Linked DNA regions of Drosophila melanogaster. The protein of the gene in region 1 binds, or shares a complex with, the protein of each later gene. Each region holds a gene or a part of one and is shown on either strand. Other genes may lie near its edges. The genes, in order: Mon1 and Bulli. A codon is read from its position in the direction of its gene.

The links.
Region 2: the proteins of Mon1 (region 1) and Bulli are in contact, whole or in part, in a cryo-EM structure (PDB 8JBE), measured with the Drosophila melanogaster proteins. Residues at the interface, in NP_608868.1 of Drosophila melanogaster: Pro416 (codon at 3,211), Glu417 (codon at 3,214), Arg419 (codon at 3,220), His438 (codon at 3,277), Pro439 (codon at 3,280), Glu445 (codon at 3,298), Arg448 (codon at 3,307), Met473 (codon at 3,382), Lys474 (codon at 3,385), Glu475 (codon at 3,388), Arg476 (codon at 3,391), Glu494 (codon at 3,445), Pro495 (codon at 3,448), Val496 (codon at 3,451); in NP_648047.2 of Drosophila melanogaster: Ile561, Arg565, Lys568, Asp590, Leu592, His595, Ser596, Arg599, Phe600, Met603, Phe631, Pro632.

What each region holds. Positions count from the first base shown.
Region 1 is NT_033779.5:4,848,904-4,852,819, forward strand, and holds Mon1 (monensin sensitivity 1), read left to right. Parts: upstream 1-1,737; 5' UTR 1,738-1,847; coding exon 1,848-2,440; intron 2,441-2,504; coding exon 2,505-2,656; intron 2,657-2,710; coding exon 2,711-3,552; 3' UTR 3,553-3,737; downstream 3,738-3,916. Other genes in the region: CG11927 (uncharacterized protein), read left to right, coding at 1-421; mRpS2 (mitochondrial ribosomal protein S2), read right to left, coding at 609-1,378, 1,436-1,460. UniProt on the Drosophila melanogaster protein: Part of the Mon1-Ccz1 guanyl-nucleotide exchange factor complex specific for Rab7 that promotes the exchange of GDP to GTP, converting Rab7 from an inactive GDP-bound form into an active GTP-bound form.
Region 2 is NT_037436.4:6,486,433-6,490,348, reverse strand, and holds the start of Bulli (bulli), read right to left. Parts: upstream 1,669-3,916; 5' UTR 1,589-1,668; coding exon 1,481-1,588; intron 1,420-1,480; coding exon 936-1,419; intron 880-935; coding exon 487-879; intron 432-486; coding exon 173-431; intron 111-172; coding exon 1-110. Other genes in the region: CG10147 (uncharacterized protein), read left to right, coding at 2,008-2,493, 2,554-3,414. UniProt on the Drosophila melanogaster protein: Positive regulator of the Rab7 guanyl-nucleotide exchange activity of the Mon1-Ccz1 complex, possibly by enhancing its endosomal membrane association.

The DNA.
Region 1 (3,916 bases):
ACTACAGAAGGCCGAGGAGTATATAGTTGCGCACAAGGCGATGCTGACGGTGAAGCATGCAGAGCGCTGGGTGGAGCAGGACAAGAATGAAAAGGGCCAAGTGTTCGTGCGCAAGTCATCCAGCATCGGCTCGTGGGACATGTCCAAGGAGAGGCCGCCGAATGGTTTTGCGTCGATGCATGATTTCAAGAAGCAGCAAATGGATACGTTCTTCGGTCCCGGCCGTGCCATCAAAGGCGGTACGGATCTCTCCATCATTGGTACCTCAGCGCCGCCTCCGCCGCCACCTGACACCCCACCACAGATTACCAACTACTGGCCCTCTGGAAGTTCCAACAACACGGGGTCCAACTCCAATCCCTCGTATTTCAGCCACTACAGCAACAACTTTGTCAAGGGTGCCACTCTGCTGCCGCCCTAGAATAGCTATCCGAAACTAACCCAGGTCGTGGGTTTTCTTAAACACTATCAAATAGCATGGCACATGCACAAAGTTCTGCAATTTTGCAACCATATTTAGCAATTTCTTCTTCATCGTGGATTGACGGCCATTGGCATTTGTATTAAGATAAATGTAACAAAATCAACTTGACACTACTACTTGGCTATTACTTAGTTTTGCGACTGCGCCGCGGCTGGGATTCGTCCAGAGGCGGAAGGCCAAGGAGTTGGCGTCGTTCCCGCTTGCCACGCAGTATGGCTTCCTTGAAGAGGTTGCAATAGAGCTCCACTGCGGCCGGCGAGTCATCGTTGCCGGGCACCGGATAGGTGATCAGGTTGGGATTGCAATTGCTGTCCACTATGCCAATCGTTGGTATGGCCATTTTGGCGGCGTCCCGAACCGCCGTGTGCTGAGCCATAACGTTGTTTTGAGTGTTGAGGAAAATGCAAAGATCGGGCAGCCTGGTGACCGCATCGAATTGCACATTGGCATTGGTAAAGATGCCGCCGCGCCAAAAGCGAGTGTGCGAGAATTCACCGGCCTCCTGGGCCTTTCGCTCCACGAGATGTGAGTTCATGGCGTTGCGGTTGAAGAACAGAATGATGCCATCTCGGAAGGCAATGTGTGCGGCAAAGTTGAGGGCATCGCGCAGATGTGATGCCGTCTTGTCCAGATCGAAGATCAGATGACCTAATCGACTGCCGAACAAGTACGGACGCATTCGGTCGTCCAGGGAGCCCTCCTTGTGGCCATAGTGCACTCGGGCATTGAAGAGGTCGCGCACGGTGAACAGGTTGTGCACTTGGAAGTAGTCCGGATGCTTCAGAATCCGCTGTTCCACCAGGGCGATGTCCTCCGGTTCCGTTTCCACCGATTGCTCCGGCTGTGTGCTCTGCAGGCGTCGTGGCAGACCGCACATCTGACCAAAGCGGGGTACTACCAAGGGAAAGCATGTATAATTTGGTTTCCTTGATGTTTTAATTGATTACTTACGGTTGGCAAACGATTTTCTCAACATTTTGGAGCGGCTCGTGTTTTCATAACCTATGTTCTTCTTCTTTTCCGTCGATTTTGGTAAACAGCTGGTGGGTAGTGTTGGATAGAAGTGTTTCTATAAGAGGTCTTAAAACAAAAACAAAATAACAGATATAAAAATTTAATTATAATTATTAAGATAAAGTAATTCAAAATCCATATATCAAATTAACTTATTTTTCATAACATTTAAGAATGAATAAGCCTATCTTATGGTGTGTTTTCCGGAACACCCTTTATTTCACCTTCTGCTTCGGACAGTGTTGGGAAATCCATTCCAGCTGTAATGATTTAGTTGTAAATTTATGATATTGCTAAATATTGGCAAACTGCAATGTTCCAGCGACTGAAATAGTTAAACGAATTCGAAATGGAAGTAGAGCAGACGTCAGTCAGGTCGGACACGAACTCCACCTGCGAGTATCTAGACGCAGAGGGCGATCCGGAGTCCCCAAATCTCTATCAAGAGGCGGATCCCGACCAGGAGGCCGAGCAACAAAACCATAGTATTATCTCTGAGCTAAGAGATGGCCTGGGCACCATGCGAGATAACAGTGCCCTCAGTCCGGAGCCGGGGCAGGAGAACAAGGGACTGGCTGCCTCTGTGGAGTCTCTGGCATTGAGCACCTCGACCAGCGCCAAAACAGAGGACTCCATTGGCGGGGGACTGGAGGAGGAATACGATTACCAGCACGACAGTCTGTGGCAGGGCCAAAAGAAACACATCTTCATACTAAGCGAGGCGGGAAAGCCAATCTTCTCGCTACACGGCAATGAGGATAAACTGGCCACGCTTTTCGGTGTCATTCAGGCACTGGTAAGCTTCGTCCAAATGGGCCAGGATGCTATTACCTCCATTCATGCGGGCGGCATTAAGTTCGCTTTCATGCAACGCAGCTCGCTCATCCTGGTGGCTGCCAGCAGGAGCAACATGAGTGTGCAGCAGCTGCAGCTTCAACTGGGGTGAGTCAATTATAACGCACCTGATAGCAATGCTAACTAATGGGAACTTCCCATTCTTTACCAGGGATGTCTACAATCAAATATTGTCCATTCTGACGTATTCACACATGACGAAAATCTTTGAGAGGCGCAAGAACTTTGATCTGAGGAGACTGCTCTCCGGCAGCGAACGATTGTTCTACAATCTGTTGGCGAACGACAGTAGTAGTGCCAAGGGTAAGGATATCTAAGCATATCCAAATTGCTTAATTTCTCAACGACTTCTTTTAGTGTCCAACAACATCTTCACATTTTTGACCAACTCAATTCGCGTCTTCCCATTGCCCACAACGATACGATCGCAAATCACCAGCGCCATTCAGAGCAACTGCTCCAAGATCAAGAACCTGGTGTTTGCCGTGCTAATTGCCAATAACAAACTGATAGCATTGGTGCGCATGAAGAAGTACTCCATCCATCCGGCTGATTTGCGTCTGATCTTCAACCTGGTAGAGTGCTCCGAGTCCTTCAAGAGCTCCGAGAACTGGTCACCAATTTGCCTGCCCAAGTTCGACATGAATGGGTATCTGCATGCGCATGTCTCGTACCTGGCGGATGATTGCCAGGCCTGTTTGCTCCTGCTGTCCGTGGACAGAGATGCCTTTTTCACGCTGGCAGAGGCCAAGGCAAAGATCACGGAGAAGCTACGCAAAAGCCACTGCTTGGAAGCCATCAACGAGGAGCTGCAGCAGCCGTTCAATGCGAAACTCTACCAACAGGTTGTGGGAATCCCCGAGCTGCGGCACTTTCTTTACAAGCCCAAGAGCACAGCTCAACTGCTGTGTCCCATGCTCAGGCATCCGTACAAATCTCTGACGGAGCTGGAGCGCCTGGAGGCCATCTACTGCGACTTGCTGCATCGCATCCACAACAGTAGTCGCCCGCTGAAGCTTATCTACGAGATGAAGGAGCGCGAGGTGGTCCTGGCCTGGGCAACCGGAACCTACGAACTGTACGCCATATTCGAGCCGGTTGTGGACAAAGCCACTGTGATCAAGTACGTGGACAAGCTGATCAAGTGGATCGAGAAGGAGTACGACGTGTACTTTATACGAAACCATGCCACATTCTAAGCTTTAGCGCGCTTCGCTAGGGCATTGTGAGATATATGACTATTTTTTTATTGCTCCTCTGCCAATCGAACCAGGACAAAGTTGTTGTGCTGCAGTTGTGACGGCGTTTGTTTAACTGAACCTAGTATACCAGAATCACGCATGTACATTTGTAATTTAAAACTTTAAGTAAATTCTAAAACTTTATAGATAGTTTATCTCTTAGTGGATCTATAGAAAACTGAGTTCTGTCGAAAGGTTCGAGTCACCGCTAGCGCAGCATATCCTTTAAGTTCGGACTCAAACCAAACCGGTTATCTTCGGGGATGGACTTTCGAGAGCGAAAGGAATCGCAGAGAGAGCTTTTGCGGAATCAACAACTTAA
Region 2 (3,916 bases), on another chromosome or scaffold:
TATCCAGTTGCTCAATGAGCACAATGGGCGGTGTGCTCTGTTTCAGGGTAGTAGTTTTTACGTTCGACGGTTGAGCGGTTTGATTTTGCAGCTCCAACTGGACCCAAGACCTAAAGTATACCATGCATAATGTAATAAATATATATTGATGAAAATAACGTCTTTAACTTACGCATAGATCTTGTTAATCCGACTGAAGATGGTCTCTAGGACTGGCAATAGAGTTCCCTTATACTGATCATCTACCAATTGTCCAATGACTTTTAATAGCATCTGCTTGCCATTGCTGCGTTGCAGCAGGAATTCTGTAAGTCGAATGCGATCCGAAATCAGTTGGCACAATGGTTCAATGCAGAGGTTCAAAAACCACATGCAACCCAACTTGGCATCGATTACAATATTTGGCTGGAACAGTACCCAGTGCGTGGAATCTGCATGGGTATAAGTGTCAAATAAAGTAACTTTTTGGATATTTAAAGAACTTACACAACTCGCACTGCAAGATTTGTCCATCAGGCGAAAGTGAGGGCAGTTTCAGGCCAAACGGTTTGATGGAGCGCCCTGGAGTTATGGGTGTATGATAGGTTATTTCATTGATCACCTCTCCGGGCAGGGAGATGTCGAATAGCAGCGAAGTGCCCGAAGCTTGATGGTGCACCACAATCAGATTATCCACCGTGTTGATGGCGAAGCGACCAAGCAGACTTAAGCGGAGCACATGGCACTTGCGTGGAGCCAAGCCCGGTCCATTGAGCAAGTGCACCTCGACTTCCATCAGTCCGGTGGTGCTATTTGACTGGAGGATAAGCACAGCCAGCACGCCGTAAACTTGGCCTAAGGTGACCTTGCTCTCCTGGACATCGCGACTTGGATTGCCCACTGAAAGGAAAGATTAAAACGCTTTTAAAGGATTTTAACCCAAAAGGATTACTTACAGTCCACTTTGGGCAGCTTGGTGATTACTTTCTGCTTGACCAGCACCGGAATCAGGGAGTTTCCTTCGCTGGTGCACAGTAGAGCCACATTGGCATCGCAGCACCAGGCGAACCACTTGATGCCAATGCTCAGGGATTTCACAGAGCGCACCTGTCGCTTCTCAGGAACTACGGTGTAGACCTCCACGCCGGTATTCGAAATCAGGGCCACCTCTCGATTGTGGACCCAAACAAAGCCATGGATCAGAGTCTTCACCTGGTGGGTAATGATGTCCTGCAGCAGAGGCTGATCTCCCTGAAAACATATGAACTCCACGGAATTCTCCTTTCGCTGAACGGCCAAGATTTGGTTGTCCGGCGAGAACTTAATGGACCTTATGGCACCGCCACGGTCGCTCATGCAAAAGGAGATGACGACATCGTCGGGAGATCCAGGACCTTTGACCACCACACCAGTAGCTCCTCCAGACCGAACAGCAAATATCTTTACAGATATAGATTTTTAGCCATCATCAACATGGATTTTTAACATGTTTTAACTATACCTGCTTGTTGGAGTCATCGAAAAACACATTGGTTAGTTGGCTGACAGCATCAAATCGTATGGGATTTGGGGTTAGCTCAATGTAGTGGATTCCATTGGAATTATCCATTGTTGTGCTGGAAAAAAATAAATAACAAACTGCAACAGCACAACTTTTTATACACCCCCCATTAGAGATGTGACTTTAGCACAGGGTGCTAGAGATGTGCCACGAGTAACAAGCTGTTTTAAGTCACGATTAATTTCATTTATTGTACGTGCAAGGATTAAAAATATAAATGTATTTAACATTATTTGTGGTATGCTTACAGTAGATATTTTTAAACATTTATACTATATTTATTTAACCCCTTCCAACTCACGCTATTATTTGCCATCACTATTGCTATCAGCGGTATTTTTGCCAGCCCTATCAGCTGTTTAGTATACAAACAACAGCGATAAGAAAAAACGGCAGACAGGACACAGAAAAATATTTTTTCTTGTGAATTTAAAAAAAGGTCTCAATAACTTTGATTCAACCACTTAATGGGACACCTGGACAAATGCCGCGTATGCTCCAGCGATGTGGCTAGAGACGACGAGGCCTACAATTTGCTGCACCATCCATATCTCGCCGTCAAATTTTCGGAGTGCACAAATTTGGTGGTGGATCCTGATGACCAGGATATTTTGCCCAGCGAAATTTGCTCGGAGTGCTACGAGCTTCTGGAGAAGTTCCACTCCTTCCGAGCACTTTGCATTATAGCCGACAATAAGTGGCGTTCTAAAAGTCTGGTAACTTGGAAGAAAATAGATCGCAGGAAACCTGTTTACGAGGTCGATGAAGATGAGGAAGAGGAGCTGGAGCTGGAAGAACTTCTATTGGAGCCGCCGGAGATGATTATATGTGATACCAATTTGAGTGCACAAAATACCCCAATAGTCGCTGAACAGGCACCGCCAACCTTGGTATTCCATACCTTCACCGAAAATGTCCAGCAACCCCCGGAAACGGAAAAGAAAGCTTTGGAAGTGAGTTTGGGTTTAAGGTTTAAACAGGAGTGTAAGTTAAGTTGTATTCAATGATTTCAGGAGCCGCCATTGACCACATACAAGTGCGACTTGTGCGCCGACGAGTTTCGAGAGGAGAAACGCTTGATTCTGCACAAGAAGGAACACCAGGGACACATGCTGTATCATTGCACTGAGCCCGGATGCGAGGAAGCTTTCAACCGATTCGAGAACCTCAGGCAGCACGAGCTAGAGCACTCGGAAGTGGGCATGCGGTTTGTCTGCGAGGAGGAGGGCTGCAACAGGATGTACCGGCACAAGGCCTCGCTGAAATACCACCAAAGCAAGGCTCACGACATTGGCAAGCCTTTGAAGACCCATATGTGCGAGTTCTGTGGTCGGGTGTTCAAGACTGGCTCTGCCCTAAGCCAGCATCGGTTCACACACGGTGACCAGCTGGTATTGCCATATGCCTGCGAACTGCCGGAATGTTCTATGCGATTCTATAGCACGGAGAAACTCAAGATCCACATGATGCGTCACCAGGGCATAAAGAACTTTAGTTGCCCCTACTGTGGTCTCAAGAAGACGACCAAAAACGAACTGCGACTGCATATCAACTATCATACTCTGGAAAGGACCTGGTCCTGCAAGGATTGCCCCAAAGTTTGCAACAGCTCAACGAGTCTTAAGAAACATATCCGCGCAATCCACGAGAAGGCACGAGATTATGCCTGCAGCTATTGCGAAAAGAAATTTGCCACCACCGACACGCGAAAATATCACGAAATGACCCACACTGGCGAAAAGAACTTTGAGTGTCACGTTTGCGGCAAGAAATTTATACAACCCTCTGCCTTGCGCACCCATCGCAAGGTCCACGAATCGGGGGATAATCAGCAGACCGCTTGTGCTCTGCTGCAACTGACTAGCATGGGTTAAAGAAGTTAACATATTTCTATTTTAGGTTCAGTGGAAAGTACAACATTCATATCGTATTTTACTTGACTCACAACTTAATTAATATTTACATACCTCCTTTATTGAGGGATTTATTACGATAACGAATTAGAAGAGCAGGGAAGAGGCAATTTTTAATAAACTAGTCTTAGTTTCTAATGGCACAAATACATGCCATTTTACCCTTAATAACGTTAACAAATCAGGAAGTTTAGGGTAAATGGCATTAATTAATAAGCTGTAGTTTTTCTATCTTATCAAGAAACTAATTAATATGACAACAACCCGCAATAACGACAATAAATCTTATGGTGTAGGGTATAAGTTAATGACAATAAATCAGAAGGTGGAAGGTACAAGTATATGACGATAACCCCAAATAATGTTAACAAAACAAGAAGAGATTATGAATGGAGACAATAACCCTTAATAACACTAATCAGGAAGTGTAGGGTAAAGTGAATTATTTTAAAGAAACTGCACT